2 linked regions of the Macaca fascicularis genome follow. The protein of the gene in region 1 interacts with the protein of each later gene in a pairwise test. Links are inferred from orthologs where the notes say so. Each region holds a gene or a part of one and is shown on either strand. Other genes may lie near its edges. The genes, in order: DMPK and HSPB2.

Region 1 (9,867 bases):
CTTGTATTTTTAGTAGAGATGGGGTTTCACCATGTTGGCCAGGCTGGCCTCAAACTCTTGATCTCGTGATCCGCCCACCTCGGACTCCCAAAGTGCTGGAATTACAGGCATGTGCCACAGCGCCCGGCCGCAGCCCAGCCTATTTTTAAATTTCAATTTAATTTTATCTTATTTTTGAGACAGAGTCTCTCCTCTGTTGCTCAGGCGGGAATACAGTGGCACAATCACAGCTCACTGCAGCCTTGACCTCCTGGGCTCAAGCGAGCCTCCCAGGTCGGCCTCCCTAGGAGCTGAGTATACAGGCATGCGCCACCACACCCAGCCAATTTTTTAAACATTTTTGTAGAGATAGGGTCTCACCACATTGCCCAGGCTGGTCTTGAACTCCTGGGCTCAAACAATCCACTCGCTTCGGCCTCCCAAAGTACTGGGGTTACAGGCGTGAGCCACGGCGCCTGGCCCCACTATTTTTTCTTGTATCCTGTTGCTTCCCTTCAAGGGCACCTGCCACACTCTCCATAATTCTCTAATTCTCTAGACTGCAAGTGGATGAGGGCAGGGACCAGAGATGATCTGGTCAGTGCTGGATCCCCAGTATTGTCCAGCAAAAGGGCACCCAGAGCCAAGCAAGCATTCCACGACAGCTCGTTACACGGTGAAGAGAGCCAGCCTGAGGGAGGAGGAGTCCTCTCCTGCTTCTCATCTCTCGAAGTCTCAGCTCAGATAGCTCCCCACTCCAGGAAGCCCTCCAGGACCTTCCTTGCTGAGTCAGGAGCCCCCCACCCCCTGCACTCCATTGTCTCAGCCCTGATCATTCTGGGGCTTCACTGTCTGAAGACTGGTCTGTGTTTCCCCACTGGACTATAAGTCTAGGTCACTGCTGGGTCCTCAGCACTAGATGGGCTCACAGCAGGTGCTCTGGGGAATGAGTGGTTCAGGACCCCAGGAGGTAGGCACTGTCCTTACTCCAACTTTCTGGAGGGAGCATGAGGAGGTTCCCGCAGCTGAGCAGGGGCCGCAGGTACCTACCCCGCCCCCGCTCACCATGGCAGTGAGCCCGTCCTCCACCAAGTCGAAGTTGCATGTGTCGGTGGCACCTTCGAAATCCGGTGTAAAGGGGGGCATGCTGTCTCGGAGACCATCCCAGTCGAGGCCAAAGAAGAAGGGATGTGTCCGGAAGTCACCTGCTCCACCCCGGCCCAGCCGTGTCTCCGGGGGACACAGCAGACGCTGGATGAGGTCTTGAGCCTCCTCAGGGACCCCTTCATCTGCCAGCGGCAGAGAGAGGTGCTCCTGCTCAGAGGGAGAGGGAGAGGAGGCGATAGTTGGGGAGCGCCTACCTGGAGAGGCCAGGGCTCCCTGGGGCCATGCTCACCTTGTAGTGGACGATCTTGCCGTAGGTCTCCGCCGTGGAATCCGCGTAGAAGGGCGTCTGCCCGTAGAACATTTCATAGGCGAACACACCCAGCGCCCACCAGTCACACTCTGGCCCGTAGCTGCCTGTCCCAGGCCCACCGCCCACAGCCTGCAGGATCTCGGGGGACAGGTAGTCTGGGGTGCCCACAGCCACCAGTGACCGCACCTGGACCAAAAGGAGCAGAGCGAGGCTTGGGCCCACCCCTCTGGGCCCACCAGCTCTGGGCCCTCCTTCCAACCACTCCCCAAATGCTTAGCCTCTCCCTCTGCCTGGTCTAATGCTCTGCCACACAGATGCACACTTAGGCCTGGGTCACCTCCTCCTGCCCCCTCCAAATCCAGTCCTGCCCCCACACTCTGCACCTCCCATCCCTCATTAGCAGCCCGAGTTGCTCTGTGGCCAGGGCACTGGCTCACCGTTCCATCTGCCTGCAGCTTGAGACAGGAGCCGAAGTCGGCCAGGCGGATGTGGCCACAGCGGTCCAGCAGGATGTTGTCGGGTTTGATGTCCCTGCACCGAGGAAAGGAGAAGGGTGGGATAAGTGAACCTCCCTTCTGTGGTCCCACCAAGCTCTGCCCCTTTGGGCAGTGCCACCTCGGGCCCCACTTCCTTGGGTTCTGCCCCTGTAGGGATTCTACAGTTCTGGACCCTACTCCCAGGCACGCCCCAGTGGGCCCCAACCAAGGAGGTCCCTCTCTAGGCCCTGGCCTCTCTGGGCTCTGACCTTCCAAGAACCCTGCCAGGGAACAAGCTTGCTATCCCCTCGCCCTAGCCCTCAGCCATGCCACACACACCTGTGCACGTAGCCGAGCCGGTGCACCGAATCTATGGCCATGACAATCTCCGCCAGGTAGAAGCGCGCCATCTCGGCCGGAATCCGCTCCCCAAACTTGCTCAGCAGTGTCAGCAGGTCCCCACCCACGTAATACTCCATGACCAGGTACTGAGAAGGGGTTCGTCATGGGTGGCTGGTAGTCCCGAGGCCCTGATCCATCACGGATGGCCGGGACAACCACTGCCAGAGACACCCCATCCCTGGGCAGAGACCTGCAGCCCCAGCCCAGAGATAACCACAGAGATCTGCCGGGCCAAATCAGAGACACCTGCGGCCCCCGCCCCCCGCCCCTCGAAAAAAAACACAAACAAAAAACCTTTCCTGGAATGTCACTGGGCAGATTCACTCCCCCTGAGATGTTCTGGGAAAGAGAACTCATAGACCACTGAACACCCAGAGAATAGGTCCCAGACACTCCCTCCCTAGGCAGTGGCCCCGTTAGAATTTCTGAAGACCTATCCCATTCCAGGTAAGAGACCCCCCCAACAGAGACTTCTTTATAGGAGTCCCCCAAAACACCCCAGAAAGGGGCAGTGAGGGACCCCATCCCCGTCCAAGATAAGGAAGGCCCCTCATCCACCTGACACACCCTCTTACTGCACACAGACTCTCCCACAGGCGTGGGGGACTTGTGGTGGGCAGCACCCCCAATCCTAGAGCTTCCTCTCCCCACCTCCTCATCCAGTGACAGCATGGGCTCTGTACCTCTTCCCAGTCACCCCAGCCCGGAGCTCACCAGGTAGTTCTCATCCTGGAAGGCGAAATGCAGCTGCGTGATCCACCGCCGGTCCCCATTCACCAACACGTCCCTCTCCTCACGGAAGCACGACACCTGCAGGGCACCCGGAGGAGCTGCAGCCGGAGAGAGGGCGCGGATCCTCAAAGCCCCCCACGCCCGCCGAGCCCCTCACCTCGCCCCTCTTCAGCATGTCCCACTTGTTCATGATCTTCATGGCGTACACCTGGCCCGTCTGCTTCATCTTCACCACCGCTACCTGAGGCCAAGAGAGGCAGACAAGGTGGAGACGCCGGGAAAACAGAAGGGCTCCCCGAGACCCAACTCCACCCGCTTCTGCACTCAGTCGTGGCCCCGCCCCACCTGCCGCACCACGCCCATTGGTCCCAAGCCCCGCCTCCAGCCCAGCCCTAGGTTCTAAGGCTTGGTCATTCATCAATTTCTAAGGCCCCACCCCAACCCTTATGCCCCACCCACCACAAGTCAAGTCGGGCTGCCGACCAGTTGAGCTTACCTCACTGAACGCCCCGCGTCCGATCACCTTCAGAATCTCGAAGTCGTCCCTGTGCAGTCGGACCTCCTTAAGCCTCACCACGATGGGCTCCGCTGGGGGCGTGGTGGGGGAAAAGAACCGAGGGTCACCAGAAAAGGCACTGGAGACAAGGGGAAAAACCCCACCTTCTGTCTCCCCTTCTCTCTGCCTCTCAGCTTCACCCTAGGACTGTCTGCTTCCCAAGAGCTTCCCCACATAAACACTGTGTAAGGTTCAGGGGACCCAAAACTGCCCTCCCATAGAGGCGAGATGCCTGGGAAGCCCTTTGCGGGACAGGGCATTGGACCAGAGGGCTCCAAGGGTGTGCAGGACGGTGAGGGTGGGGTAACAAAGTCTGCAGAAGGGCAGACCCTAAAGAACAAGGGGAGAAGGAAATAAGACCCAGTTCTTCCACCTTCCTGGGCTTCCAGTCCTCCACCCCGACTCCAGGTGACAGTTCAGGCGCAGCCAGGACCCCACCCCCTCGTTCTCATGTAGAATGTCCTGGGTAATGGCCCAGACGTGGGGTTGTATCCAGTACCTCTAGATTCAGATACAGGTGGTTCTTGAACCACACTTTGGGAAACCCTGGATCTGGGGCTGGGGGAAGGAACAGGACAGGGAGACAAAGCCGGCATGGTCACACATCCTAGACTCAAGTGCTCTGGTCCAGCCCATCTCTCAGTCCTCCAGGAGGAGGGCTTTAGTCCTACCCCTTATTTACAGATGACAATCAGGGCTCTCAGAAGTCAAGGTCCTATGACTAGGAATGTTAAACAGGGCAGCTTGGGTGGGGGACCGGCTGGGGTGGAGGCTTGGGGCTCAGGGACCATGGGGACAGGGAGGCCTGGACTCCCAGGGGTGGAAGAAGTGGAGGCAGGATGGAGAGAGGGATGGGTATGGGAGGGGAGGGAAGGAGAAGAGACAGTGGGTTCTAGAGGAGAGAGGGGTTTCGGGGGGTTCCGGGAGAGTGGGCCAGCAGGGACGAACCAGCCAGGGCTGAGGACGGGGGAGGGAGGAGAGAGCCAAGACATTGAGCCCTTTTAAGGCAGCAGGAACCCAGGCCCCCTCCCCCGCCCCAGGCCTGGCAGGGGAGGGGCCGCAAGATGCAGCTCGGGCCACAAAAGGAGTGCTCCTCCCTGGAGCGCCAGACCCCTACCCCGCCCGGTCTCAGTTTACCCTGCCAGCCCAACTTCATCCTCTGTTAAAGGGGGGCCAGGAGAGTCATTAGGGGCTGCGGGAGGTTGGGAGAAGGTTTTTCCAGAGGCTGAGTGGCCTGGCCCTTCTTGGCCTCCGCCTTCCCATCTGTGAAATGGGAGGAGGAGGGAGAGGAACCAGACCTGGGTCACAAAGAGATGGACACAAGAGGAAGCAGGGGAAGGTGGAGAAACAGGAAACAAGTGTCACACAGTTTGTCACACACAGACCAAAGACCAAGTGCCAGTCGCTGAGGGCCAGGCACGTGAGGGCCAGAGGGGCAGGGTGCTGGGAGTGAAAGAAACCAGTGACCAGTGAGCCTGAGTCCTGGGCTTGGGGAGGAGATGGGCGGACAAGGCAGCTGGCAGAAGTGGAAGCATCCTCCTTCCAGCCCTGGCCCCAGGCCCTGGAAAGTCCTTGCAAGAAGGGGCTTTGTGGGGCAGCTGGAAGGTTGGAGGCCGTGGGCCAGGAGAACTAAAGGACGCAGGGAGCTGGGGTGGCGAGAATGGTGGCTGACCCACACGGCTCATAGGGACCGAGACTTTGGGGCTGGGGGTGGGGGTGGGTGCAGAACCTACAAAAGGAGGCACACCCAGAAGAACCCAAAGTTGTCCCTCCTGGATCACAGAGGAGGGGGCGCTGGTGGCGCCTGTCTGCAAAGCTGGTTCTCCCCCAGGGCCCGCGTGAGTCACCGCCCTCCCAGTGCCTGGGCACCTGTTGGGGCAGCTGGAGAGGCTGGCGCCGAACACCTGCCTGTCGGCTGCGCCCCTGGCAGCTGCCCCATGCTGGCCCTCCTGGCTTGCCCTGGGCTGCAGAAAACCAAGGGAGTGGGCCATAGAGCCCACTTGTGGGGAGAGGATCCTAGGAGAGGGAGCTCCCAGCATGACACTGGCCCTGTCCCTGAGGCAGGGTGCAGAGAGGCCATGGGAGGCTGTTGGCAGTGTAGCCTGCTGTGACTCCTAAGCCATGGCTCTGAGTCATAGCCACCCTGGCCTCTGCTGACCTTACTCTGCCCCTCCAGGGTGGTGGCATAGGACAGAGAAATGTTGTCCCAGGACTCAGGTCCACGCTCTGAGCCCCAGGATGGGAGGATCTTCCCATGCCCATCCTGCCATCCTGCCCCCGCAACAGCCAGGCCTCTGTGCCCAGACCTGTCTCCTGCCCCACCCCCACCCCATCTGCAGGAGCCCTGAGGGCAGGCACTCACCCCACTGCAAGAAGTCGGCCACGTACTTGTCCTGGGCCAGTTCGGAGGCACCCAGCTCCTGGTGGACGCCCAGGAGAAGGTCGAGCAGGGGCTCCAGCCCCAGGAAGCCGGGGTCCAACACCAGCTGCTGGAGCTGCCTCAGCCGCACCTCGGCTGACATGTTGGACAGGCAGCACCATGGCCCCTCCCCGGGCCGGGGGCTCGGGGTCCTCCTGTCACGGGGCCTGGCAGCCCCTGTCCAGACCCTGGAGCCCTGGCTGCATGTCTGCCTGTCCCTGACTGTCCCCTGGGCCTCTCTGGCCACTTCTCTCTGCTGCTGAGGCCTCCTCCCCTTCTCCCCACCCCTTGGTCCAGCCCCCCTCCCGCCTCCCAGCCTTAACCCCTCACAAGCCACCCCCCAAGCTCCCTCCTTCCGGGGCCCTTCAGAACCCTTCAGTGCTAGAGGGGATGGATGGAGAATCTCAGCTCTCACACTGTCACCCCAATAAAAAGGTAGAGCACAGAGGAAGCCACAGGTGTGATGGATTCCAAGAGGAACCTGCCCATTACTAAAATGGGGCCAGTCGAGGCTGAGTGACCCAGTAGCAACCACCCCCTTGCTCCTGACAAGCTCCAGAGCTAGGCGCTGGGCGCTGGGCGCTGGGCGCTGGGGGCTGGGGGCTGGGCGCTGGGCGCTGGGCGCTGGGCGCTGGGCGCTGGGGGCTGGGCGCTGGGGGCTGAGGGCTGGGTAGGAGAAAGGGGCTGAGGCCTGGGAAGGGGTGGGAGGCCAGGGCAGCTTCTTGGGTGACTCAGAGATGGATTCCGACTCGGACAGTTAAATTTAGCCCTCAGGCTCTCTGCTTTACACTTTTTTTTTTTCCAGGAGGTGGGGAAGGGGTGGTGAGGAGAGGACCAGGAGGGGGCACCCTCAGAGCCTGAACAGGGGTGACCTGCTGCCCAAAGCCTGGGGGAGGCAAGTGGTGGAGCCAAGCCCTCCCCAGGCAAAGGAGACCCCAAAATAGCTCCTTGGCCCCTGGCCGGGAAGCCACATTCCTGCCCAGGCTGGGATTAGAAACAGAAACATTTCGGGGGGTGGAGGGTGGCGCGGGAAGACACTCCCTGCGGCTCCGAGAGCCAGGAGGGATCTGAGCTCTTCTTTCCAGTATGGACCGTTCTCCAGAGTGGAAGTCGGGGCCTCCAGCTGGCCTGGGGTGCCTGGGCCTTGAGAGGGCCAGGCCTGAGAAACGAGGCAAGGACCAAGGAGTCCCAGCTGGGCAGGGCTTGGGAAATGAGGTTCTGGGCAGTTTTGAGAATTTTAAAAACACCCAATGAGGACTTTGATGAGGGGCCCTGGCAGCGGGCAGGATGCTCTTCTCCCCGAGAGGGCCCTGCTCCAGTCACTGGTGTGGGTCACCAGCCGTGTGACTCGCAGATCCGTTCCCTCCCTGGGCTCCGGCTTTTCCTGCTATGAAAAGGGGTGGGAGGCGCTGGGCCAGGAGCAGGCCTGCACTCCTCCTCTGGGGAAAGCGGACTGCCTGGAACCGCAGAGCACACACACAGGTCCTCTACACCACCTCCTCCGAAGGGGACAGAGCCGCTGAGAAAACAGGGAACTTTAGTATAAATAAGAGGTCCTGGGGGACAGGGAGGAACCTGAGGGGCTTCCATAATTTAACACTCTTCAAAAGCACAGACAATAGCAAGGGCAGCTGGGGTGGGGGCCAGGTGAGGGCTGGACCACCCCCAGCCCTGCCCACTCAACTAAGGGGCACACTGCAGACCTGGGGCTCTTGTGGTGGGGGCGGGGAGTCTCTCCCCAGGAGTGACCAGTCACATGCTGGGGACAGGGATGAGGGTAACACTGATGTTTCAGAGGAAGAGGTCATTGTACTTGGCAGTGGGTGGGGGACAAGGCTGAGGCCACAAGGGCCATTACATTCCCCCAGTGTCTGGGCCAGTCTGGGGGGGCCCCCAAATTTTGTGCAGGTTGGGGGACCGGCGCAGTCCATCTGTCATAGTTAGTCTTGTTAATACGTTGATCCATGAGGTCAGCAGGGAGGGTTATGGCTAGGAGGCTGGGGGCATGGGGTAGGGGCCCCGATATCCATGGCTTCACACCACTGTGCCGCTCGGGGAGTTGCCTGGTTGGGAGGAGATGCCCTGGGGAAGATGAGAGGGAGAAATGGGAGGGGTTAGAGACCACCTGGACTTCAGCCAGTGTCAAGGGGAGGGAGCCAGCCCAGAGTCCCCAAAGCTGCTGCCACCCTGGCCTTGCCCTTGGGTCCACCCCAGAGCCCCCAGAGGCCGCTGCTCTAGGTTGGGAATTTGCATCTTAGCTAGCTTCCTGTCCTGGCAGTCGGCACTTTCACTCAATAATCAAAGTCCTCGGCAGATCCTGAGTGAGATGATGGGGTAAGGGTAGGGGTGTGAGGGGAGGGGGAAACTGGGGCTCCCTTCTAACTTGGGAGGGACCCTGAGGTGCTGGGGAAAGAACTCAGGGACAGTCCTACCTCTACCACTGACTTGCTGGGTGACCTGGGCCAACTTCCTTCCCCTGTCTGGGCCTCGGTCTCCTCGTCTGTGAACTAGGGAGACAGAGGGGTCTCTTTTAGGACTCAACCAGACTCCCCAAATCCCACCACTCTTGCCTCTGAGGCACTCAGACTGTACTCTCAAGTTCTAGGGACTCAGGACTCTACAATACCAAAACCGAGGATCTGAGGAACCAAGCCACAGCCTCCAGGACCCTGGGCAGCTGAGTCCAAGCCCTAAGGAGCGGAGACACCCAAGACAAGCTCCGGACTGACAAGATGCCAGGCCTGCTTTTGCCTACTGTGACCTTTCCAACACCATAGCCCACCCAGGAGGCAAACGCATCCCCCCTCTGCCCATTCTACAGGCTCTAAGACTTAGGTGATAAGTTGGAGGTTAGAGAGAGCAGTGACTTGTCCGGGATCACACAGGGAATGGGACTGGAACCCAGGCCTGGGATTCCCAGACTGTGCCTTCAGCAGGAGGCTCAGATCCTGAGTCCAGAACCAGCCTGGCAGCCATGCCCACAGGCTTGAGCTCGCCCCTAGAGTTTTGGCCTGAAGTACTCAAAAAAGTTTCACCATTTAAAAAACAGATGTTCAATAGAAATAGATTTTGGTTCGAGTGACAGGCAGCAAGACTTGGCCATGCGGGGCCCATCTGCTGCCCTTCAGACGGCCAGCCTTGGACGCCCCGTCTCCCAGCTGGCTCTCACACCCACCCCTCTCTCTGCTGCCTGCCACCTGGGAATCTGAGAGGTCTTGTTCTGAGACACTAAGATTTCCATGGCTTCCCCTCACCCCACGAAGCCAGAGGCTGTGACAGCAACAAAGCCCTCTCTCTGCCAATGACTGCTTCTTCCCACCAAGGGTCCTGCCAGGTCCCCGGCAGGCTGGCATGGAGCCACTCACCGCCTTGCCCGGCCGGGCCCAGGTGCAGATGAGGCCCTCCTGGCAGGCAGTGATGATGCAGTCCTCCAGAAACAGGAGGACTGTGAGCCGCTCCTGCGCGATCTTCTTGCACACGAGGGGCTCCAGCAGGGGCACCTCATGGATGCGTGGGCACAGTGCGGTGCCCAGCACCTTGGCGGGGTCCAGGCGGCTGCGGGGAATAGGGCCGCTGGGCTTCTCCCCACTGCCGCCGCCACCGCTGCCACCCCGGCTGATGTTGCCCAGGCTGTGGTAGCGCTTGTGCTCCTTCTCGGCCCCCCGGTCCCGCCGCTCCTGCAATGTGAGCGTGGCGAAGCGGCCGATGCTGAATGGTGTGCCAGGCTCTGCTGCCACGCCCGGGCCGCCTGCCTTGCCCCCGCCCGCCGGGTGCGGGAGGCTGTTGGAGCGGGACAGCGAGCGAGGCAGTGGGCCCGGGCCAGGCTCGCCACCCCTGGAGCTGCTGGCGGCCGGTGGCGTGGTGCCAGGAGTGCCAGGGAGGGTGC
Region 2 (8,643 bases), on another chromosome or scaffold:
CCAAAAAGGTTGGGGGCCACTGATTTAGCCTATACCTCAGAGCTTGTTAGGTGATAATCAGCCAAGTCCTGCTTATTGCCCTTGTAAATCAGCTTAAGGCAATACTTATCAATAGGAAAACGTCAAACAATATTAGGGTCACCATGTCTTCCCTGATGATGTAATTAATTTTAGAGATGTAGTAAGGCCTTTTATGTAGCATTATCCAGAGTTCATTCAGATGTGTTCCAGTCCTTTAAACTGAGGGCTAAAATCAAAGAGGGCAGAGACAGAGTAACTAATATTCCTTGAACTCTGCCAGGGGCTTTTCCTGCTTCTTCTCCTTAATTTACTTCCTATAATAGCTCTGTACAACTCAGTAACCCATGTTATAAATGGAAAACCTGAAGACCAGAAAGGTTAAGCAACTTGCCTAAATTTATATCATTAGTAAATGGTGGAGCCAGTCATTCTGACTCTAAAATCCTTGGAGCCCTCTAAATCATAATGCAATCATAAATAGATCTGTGGTATCCGTACATTTATTTAAAAGTGTGTGGAATATTCAAACACAAGACAGTTATCTGTTGCTGAATGATATTTTATTAGCTTGATAATTTGGGCCTGCCCTTAGCATTAATAAGCTTCAGCACTAGTCACAAGACTTTCATTCACTGGCGGGGAAACTTTCTTGTTTTAAAAAATGCAATTCAAGAAAGGGCATCTATTTCTTGGGGGCTGCGGTGACAGCAGGCTTCTCTTCACGGGTGATGGGAATGGTGCGCTCAGGGCCAGAGACCTGTTTCCTTGGTCCATTCACAGTGAGGACCCCATCAGATGACAGGGATGAAGTAATGGTGAGAGGGTCCACATCAGCTGGGACCCGGTATTTCCTGTGGAACTCCCTGGAGATGAAACCATGTTCATCCTAACCCAAAAGAATGAGGAAAGAGGCAGAGAGATAAGAATATGAACTACTATCACCTGCCCAGAACTCAGGCATCCTGATTTCCCCTTAGGTGAGACCAAATGCCATGACAACATAGGAAAAATAAACAGTGCTTTGTTTCAGGGTTGTGGCTAAGATGAAGTTACCTAGGTAGTCACTCCTACCAGTGAGAATCTGAGAAGTCTGAAACAGTACAACACTTCATTGTTTTTCAAACCCTGAGGCATAGATATGTTTAGGAGTATTTCCCAAAGGTTTAGATAATGTTGACTGGGCCTACAGAATTTGGAATCTCATTTAGAATCTGAGTCCCTGAGGAAGCCCTGAAATTGTCCTGACTCTTCAGGAATGTCCCAGAAGGTTCCAGAACAATAGGACTGCTGCTGGGGGAAAAAAAAAAAAAAGACTCCATCCAAGGAGACTATGACCCAAACCTAAATCATATGAGCAAAATTGAAACAGCCTGAGGACATTACTAAGGACAAACTGTACTGGTTGACGCACAGGTTCTGAGCTATCGCTGAGCTATCGTTAATTGGTGAGAAGGAATTTTAAAGCCCTCTTACAAAGTCATGAAAAGCTGTTCCATTCGTCAGAATTCCCCCAAAGAGTAGATGACCTTAACCCGTATGCCTGCTGACTCTCAAGCATGTAGCCAAACAGGCTCTCATTAACTGATTTCCGCATGGGCTATAGGGGATTAAAGACTGAGCACAGCTCTGAAATTTAGACAAACCAAGTAGTTCAGCATTAAGATGGGCTAAAGAAGAGACATGGATTCTTGCACAGCTAACAGAGAATTCACAACTCAAGTGCCTTTAGGGTACCTGTAGTTAATGTAATTATGCAAAGCAACTAGGTGTCTGACAGCCCTATACCTAAATCAGTGGTCCTCAACCTTGACTGTAGATTAGAATTACCTTAAAAAATGTTGATGCCCTGGGTCCCACCCCTAAAAATTCTGATTTAATTGGTCTGGAGTATGCCTGAGCATTAGGTTTTTTGAAAGTTCCCCTGGTGATTCTAATGTGGCCAAGATTCAGAACCTCTGGCTAAGATGGGGCATCAACATCCCATCATCCCATCTAAGGCGATCAAATCAAACAAAGACCACATCTCTGGCCATAACAACAGTAACAACAGCAATAGGTCTATCCCTAACTTAGTCTTCTAGACATTGATTTGTAACCCCTGATCTAGACTATTATAGCTTGGGACTGGAATGTAGCCAGCCTCCAAAGCTGATAGCACTACCTGGACTATTACAGTATACACTGAATGAATGAGCAGAAAACAAAAACCAAGCTACATACCTGGCGCTCTTCATGTTTGCCATGCACCTCAATCACATCTCCCAACACCTTAACTTTGAGTTCCTCTGGGGAGAAGTGCTTCACATCCAGGTTGACAGAGAACCTGTCCTTCTCCAGGCGCATCTAGAAATAGCAAGGTAAGGGAATGGGACGGGAGAAAGATGGCGAAAGTACTCATTATACTGGTGTTGTCTTATTCTGCAGAGTTGCTTTCTGTCCAGGTAATTCATCCTTCTCTTTTCTGCTTTAAAATATCCCCTTTTTAAATAAACATGGCTCTCTGCTTCAGGGAGCCACCACAGTGATACCTAAGGCTCATGGTGATCCGACCCAAACTTTATTTACAGGGACAGAGAAGAAGACAGATCACCCAGGGGACCAGTCGCAAGGATGGGTGCAGGCCTGGCATCTGCTGCCTCTCTGGCTCCGATGCCTGGCTTTGTGGTTTGTCTGTGAGACAAAGGCCTCTTCTTCTGGCTCAGGTCTCTTTGCCAGTTTTCCACCCACCCAATCTGGAATGTTCTGCTGGTCCTGCTTGTCCTTCCAAAGCCCTTGCCCACTCATCTCCTGTTTACTCACACTCGAATATTTTTAAACCAGAGCGTTATCTGTGACAGCTTCTGTCAACCTTATATGTTCACCCTGTTCTCTCACCCTCTTAGGACGAGTGGGGGTCCCTATATTGTTTCCTCATAAGGCTTGGTTGGACCCAGGCCAATGCCCTGTCACAGCCCTGAGAAACCCAGAAAATCACAGAAGAGGGAATAAAAAGGCAGAAAATGCCCATGAGGGTGAACAGCTCAGGCAGGGTGAGGCAGGGCTCTCTCCTGGCTCTGACACCTGAGATGGTAAAATTGGTCAAGAGTCCATGGTGTTAGAAGAGATGAGCAAAGGAGTTTGAAGGCAGCTCTTTCCCTGCAGATTGTTATGAACCAAACCAGAAAGGGGTACCCTGCAGAGAAGTTAGGGGATGGAGGATGAACTTGACAGTGCATGAAAAAAATGTAATAAATGGGATACAGAGGACCATCAAGTAGAAACAGGTGACGGGGGAGGGAGGAACTAGCAACCTCCTCATTTTTCTTCACATTTGGATACACATGTGCCTAAAATGGTTTAGGCAGGAAAGGAGAGGAAAATGGATGGAGAAGTTTACAGGAGGTTCCAGTAAGGACTCTCCCATTCTAGCAGTGGGGAGACTCACCTCTGAGAGTCCAGTGTCAAACCAGCTGGGTGCCCGCAGGAAGGAGGGTGGCCGAAGGTAGAAGGGGCTCAGGGAAGTAGACGTCGGGAAAAGATCAGACTCCAACAGGTGCTCTCCAAAGAACTGGTCAAAGAGGCGGCTGGGGGAGTGGAAAGGAAAGAAGGGGCGGCGGATCCAGGGGTGGTGGATGGCGATGTCCATGGTGGCTAGGTGAGTGTGGGGGGTCAGCTGGCTGGTCAGCTCCTTCAGCTGCAGCTACAGCCAGCCCCTTATATATGCAGTCTTGTGAAGCTTCTGGAATGGTGATGTCAGGGGTTTTATTATCCTAGCTCACCGCCGGTTCATGGAGACTTGTGATCGGGGATTTGGCAGTGTGACACATACCCAGTACTCACTGAGCTAAGAAAAGAGAAACACAAACACGTCTGAGCCGGCCAGTGACTTGTCATGGTCTTGTTTCACTAGCTTTCTGTACACACCCAGTGGCACCCACCCCCACCCCAGTTCTCTGAAGCTGGTACAGAGTCAGGAATCCCAAGCAGGCACGCGGGTGGGTGGAGGGGCAGGCGGTGGAGTGTGCCCCTCCTCCTCCTCCTCTTCAGTCCTGAATGCCAGGGGAATCAGGCCAGCAACTATCTTGGGCCTGGGCAGGGACTGGAATCTTCCTAGGCTGGGCCCCAGGGACATTAACTCTTTGTGAGTCCTTGGAAGAGAGCAGTGATGGTCAACATGCGGGTACCAGCCATCTGCCTCCTGCCCTGGGTTGACCTGGGTTTAGGAGAGGACTCCGACATCTGGGCAGAAAGACCCCACTCCCTGAAAAAAAGAGCAGAAAGATTTCTTGCATCTTTCATCCTATGTGGCTCTCAGAACATTAAATCCAGGAGTGCTTTAGGAATTGGGTGCACAGTGCCGGCCTCCAAGGAGGAGAAAATGAGGTGTGGAAACGTGCAAACCGTTTGTGAGGGTTTCAGCGAGGCCTCTTCATGCCCCAGGCACCACCAGCTCCCCCTTCTCAGCTCGTTCCTAACCAGGACCCTCAGCTGTCCTCTCAGGCCCCCTGCGACAGCTGAAGAGTGTGCGGGGGAGGGGACTAGGGGTCCAGGCGGCGCTGGTCACACCCTCGTTGCTCTCACTCAGGGCCCCCACTCCCCGCCCCTCCCCCCCAGAGGCTCGGCACTATTTTGGGTGGTGTCGACCCCGCCCCCACCTCCTATCGAGCCCTGGCTCTCCGGGCAGCTGGAGGGGTCGCGCTGCGCCTGTTGGGGCTGCACCTCGGACCAGGGCTCCCGCTGCATCTGCAGCCATGTCGGGCCGCTCAGTGCCACATGCCCACCCAGCCACCGCTGAGTACGAATTTGCCAACCCGAGCCGCCTGGGTGAGCAGCGCTTCGGAGAAGGTATGGCACAGATGCCACCCCCTTGCCTCCCACCCCCACCCCCTGAAATTCTGGGCTGACCTCCCAACGTTACTGGCCTCCACCCCACTCTGGGCTTAACTGATCTCCTGGGACCAGCCACCCCCCACCCCAGACTCCCTCTCATCCCCTCCAAGCAGAGCTCTTTCCCATTCCTGCTGACCTCAAGACACACTTGGTGCTTGCAGTGCTGCTACCTGCCCTTTGCCCGCCTGGGTGTGCCTCCTTGTCCCCCTTCTATCAACCAGGCCATTTGGTGCCTCCTCCTCCCCCTGCTTCTCCTCCTCCTCCTCCCTTTCCTTTCCGTTCTCTTTCCCCTCTTCCCAGCTGCCTTCTCCTCCTAGCTACTGTGTGGCCTCCTTCCCGTTCCCCACTCCTCCTGACTCCCCTCTTGCTCTTCCCAATCCCTCCTCTCCAGATTTCCCATTTCGCCCCTGTGCCAGCCTCATCCTCCCTCATCCTGCCTCTTGCGTTCTCTCTGCCCCTTAGGCCTCCTTCCAGAAGAGATCCTGACCCCCACACTCTACCATGGCTACTATGTCCGGCCTCGGGCCGCCCCAGCTGGGGAGGGCAGCAGGGCAGGGGCCTCCGAGCTTAGGCTCAGTGAGGGCAAGTTCCAGGCATTTCTGGATGTGAGCCACTTTACCCCAGACGAGGTGACTGTGAGGACTGTGGATAACCTGCTGGAGGTGTCTGCCCGGCACCCCCAGCGCCTGGACCGCCACGGCTTCGTGTCCCGAGAGTTCTGCCGCACCTATGTCCTGCCTGCTGATGTCGACCCCTGGCGGGTCCGAGCTGCTCTCTCCCATGATGGCATCTTAAACCTGGAAGCGCCTCGGGGTGGCCGACATTTGGACACAGAGGTCAATGAGGTCTACATCTCCCTGCTCCCTGCGCCTCCTGATCCAGAGGAAGAGGAGGAGGCAGCCATAGTTGAGCCCTGATTGCCACAGACCCAGCACCCAGCAAATCCCTCTCTACCTCCCATGGTGATATGGGCAGCTGCCCACCACTCCAGAGGTAGCAGCGTCCTTGGGGGAAAGGAAAGGTGCATGGTCTACAATGTATGGTTTGGTCCCATGGGACGTGTCATAGCCTTGGTTTAGTTTTGGGTGGAGCCGAATAAACCCAAATCTCAGGGCCTTGTTTGTGCTGCTCCCTATTCTGTGGCCGGCAAGCTGGGATGGGGAGGGAGGGAGGCGGTCACAGCCAGCTAGACAAAAAGTTCCTCAGTTTGATGTGCCTAACGTCATAGGACCCTGAGCTCGCACTTGGATACTGAGATCACACCCGGAAGCTGATGCTGGCTCCAGATCAAATTCCTAGCCGTGATTTTCTCACAGTGCAACAAAAGAGAGAGTGATCCTGGGAGAGAAAAGGGATATGCCATCCAAACAGCCCAGAGGGCACTGTCTGAGCTGGTGATTAGAGACACAAAAACAAGGGTCTCCAGACTGTCTGGCCCGTTTTGGGTAGGGGCTGGGAAAATGGTTTTTGGCTGATGAGAGTTGCCTAAAGCCCTGGAGTAAATACTTTGTTTTCATGTACTAAGGTCTGTCCACTGAAATGGTCACTGATTTTGAGAGCCCGAGTATGCATACACAGGGGCACAGACACAAAGCCTCTCCAATGATCATGGAACCCCATTACCTTCCCGTCCTCTGGGGGTATGGTGTATTCAGAAAAGCCTGAGGGTCTGTCCCCTCAGTTATTCTCTGCAATCAAGAGAACATCCAGCTAGGTGATTTGGGGGAGGTGTCCAAAACGACCTTCCTGCCTCCGAATACATATTTTATTAGGCTGTGGTAGATACCTACAATTCTTCCATTAAAGTAGTTGTTTCTTGGCTGGGTGCAGCAGCTCACACCTGTAATCCCAGCACTTTGGGAGGCCGAGGCAGGAGGATCACTTGAGCCCAAGAGTAAGAGACCAGTCTGGGCAACAGAGTGAAACCTTTGTCTTTACAAAAAAATAAAAATTAGCCAGACATGGTGGTGCATGCCTGTAGTCCCAGCTACTTGGGAGGCTAAGGTGGGAGGATGAGCTAGGGAGGTTGAAGCTGCAGTGAGCTGAGATTGCACCACTGCACTCCAGCCTGGGTGACACAGTGAGACCCTGCCTCAAAAAAATTAAATTGAATTAAATTAAGTGGTTATTTCTTAACTTTTGGGAGTTATAGACCCTTCTGAAAATCTGACAAAAGCTATAGCTGCTCTTACCAGAAAAATACATATGCTCCCAAATTTGGCAATACAACTTGAATAGGTTCCCACAACTCTTCAGACCCATTCATACATCCTTCTTAGGGATCTGTGGACCTCCAGGATAACAGAACTCACTTGAGGAATTCAACTTCTGGTTGAAAGATTGCTGTCTATTAAAAATGAAAGCATGCCCCAGAGAAATAACATTTGATATATTTAATTGTTCATTCATTCATTCAATATTTATCAAACCTCATGTAATACACCATGGGGAATATATATTGTAAATATAAAAACTATTAGCTTTTATTGTGAACTTTCCGGAATCTAGTTGAGAAGAAAAATAATAAGAAAAGGATTCCACTTAGACTTCAACCAGAATAACTTCACATTGATATGTTTTGTAACTGAGCTTTATTTAAGGGAAAGGGTTTCTCAGCTATAAAAAATTTGAAAACTTCTGATTTAGTCCAAATCCCCACTCCATTCAAAATTCTTTTAAAGTTATTAATCAACTTATTCTGGGACATTCTGAATGACAGACAACTTAGAACTTCCCACGGTAGCCTGTTCCATGTTCTTTCTTTTCTTTTTTAGATAGGGTCTCATTCTGTTGCTCAGGCTGGAGTGCAGTGGCCATGCCTCACTGCAGCTCACTGCAGCCTCAACCTCCCGTGCTCCTCATGGCTCACTGCAGCCTCAACCTCCCGTGCTCAAGCAATCCTCCTGCCTCAGCCTCCTGAGTAGCTGGGACAACAGGTGTGTGCCACCACGCCTGGCTAATTTTTTACCTTTTCTAGAGACGAGATCTCGCTTTGTTGTCCAGGCTGGTCTTGAACTCCTGGACTCAAGCAGTCCTCTAGCCTTGGCCTGCCACAGTGCTGGGATTACAGGTATGAGCCACTGTACCTGGCCCTCCATTTTCTTTTTGGTCTTAACTGACTTAACCGTTATAAATTCCTTTGATTTTGTTGAATCAAAATCTGCATTTCAGTAACTTCTCTGAAAAACAAATGCAATGGTTTTTTCACTTGAAAATCCTTCCGATATTTAAAGATAACCATCCTGTCTTCCTGAGGCTTCCCTTTCCCAGCTAAACATGCCTAGGTCTTTTTTTTTTCTTTTTTTTTTTGAGGCAAGGTCTCTCTCTGTCACCCAGGCTGTGTGTGCAGTGGTGTCATCTCCCCTCACTGCAACCTCCTCCTCCCTGGCTCAAGCAATCCTCTCACCACAACACCGGGCTAATTTTTTGTATTGTTTTGTAGAGACTGGGTTTCGCCATGTTGCCCAGGCTAGTCTTGAACTTCTGGCCTCAAGCAATCTGCCCACTTCGGCCTCCCAACATGTTGGGGTTACAGGCGTGAGCCACGACACCTGGCCATGCCTTGTTCCTTCAACCATATCATATAGCACTTTCCACATCACATATTACCCATTAACTTTATTTTGAACATACTGCCTTTTGATAACGTAGCTTGAATTTCAACATCTAGGCCTAAAATTGTTATTCCAGTCATGGATTGACTGGTACAGACTTCAGTGGAATAATCAATATCCTTGTTTATCACTTCAGGCT

Evidence for each region.
Region 2: the proteins of DMPK (region 1) and HSPB2 interact in a two-hybrid assay, tested with the Homo sapiens proteins (2 studies listed by BioGRID). The link is inferred for Macaca fascicularis from reciprocal best matches to the Homo sapiens genes DMPK and HSPB2.

Annotation. Positions count from the first base shown.
Region 1 is NC_088393.1:53,857,764-53,867,630, forward strand, and holds the start of DMPK (myotonin-protein kinase), read right to left. Parts: upstream 6,223-9,867; 5' UTR 6,104-6,222; coding exon of another isoform or gene 6,085-6,103; coding exon 5,925-6,084; intron 4,121-5,924; coding exon of another isoform or gene 4,062-4,120; intron 3,595-4,061; coding exon 3,503-3,594; intron 3,248-3,502; coding exon 3,164-3,247; intron 3,085-3,163; coding exon 2,989-3,084; intron 2,361-2,988; coding exon 2,212-2,360; intron 1,928-2,211; coding exon 1,834-1,927; intron 1,583-1,833; coding exon 1,376-1,582; intron 1,294-1,375; coding exon 1,030-1,293; intron 1-1,029. Other genes in the region: DMWD (dystrophia myotonica WD repeat-containing protein), read right to left, coding at 8,016-8,063, 8,414-8,488, 9,347-9,867. UniProt on the Homo sapiens protein: Non-receptor serine/threonine protein kinase which is necessary for the maintenance of skeletal muscle structure and function.
Region 2 is NC_088388.1:110,835,673-110,844,315, forward strand, and holds HSPB2 (heat shock protein beta-2), read left to right. Parts: upstream 1-4,687; 5' UTR 4,688-4,751; coding exon 4,752-4,845; intron 4,846-5,352; coding exon 5,353-5,807; 3' UTR 5,808-6,005; downstream 6,006-8,643. Other genes in the region: CRYAB (alpha-crystallin B chain), read right to left, coding at 704-907, 2,242-2,364, 3,446-3,646. UniProt on the Homo sapiens protein: May regulate the kinase DMPK.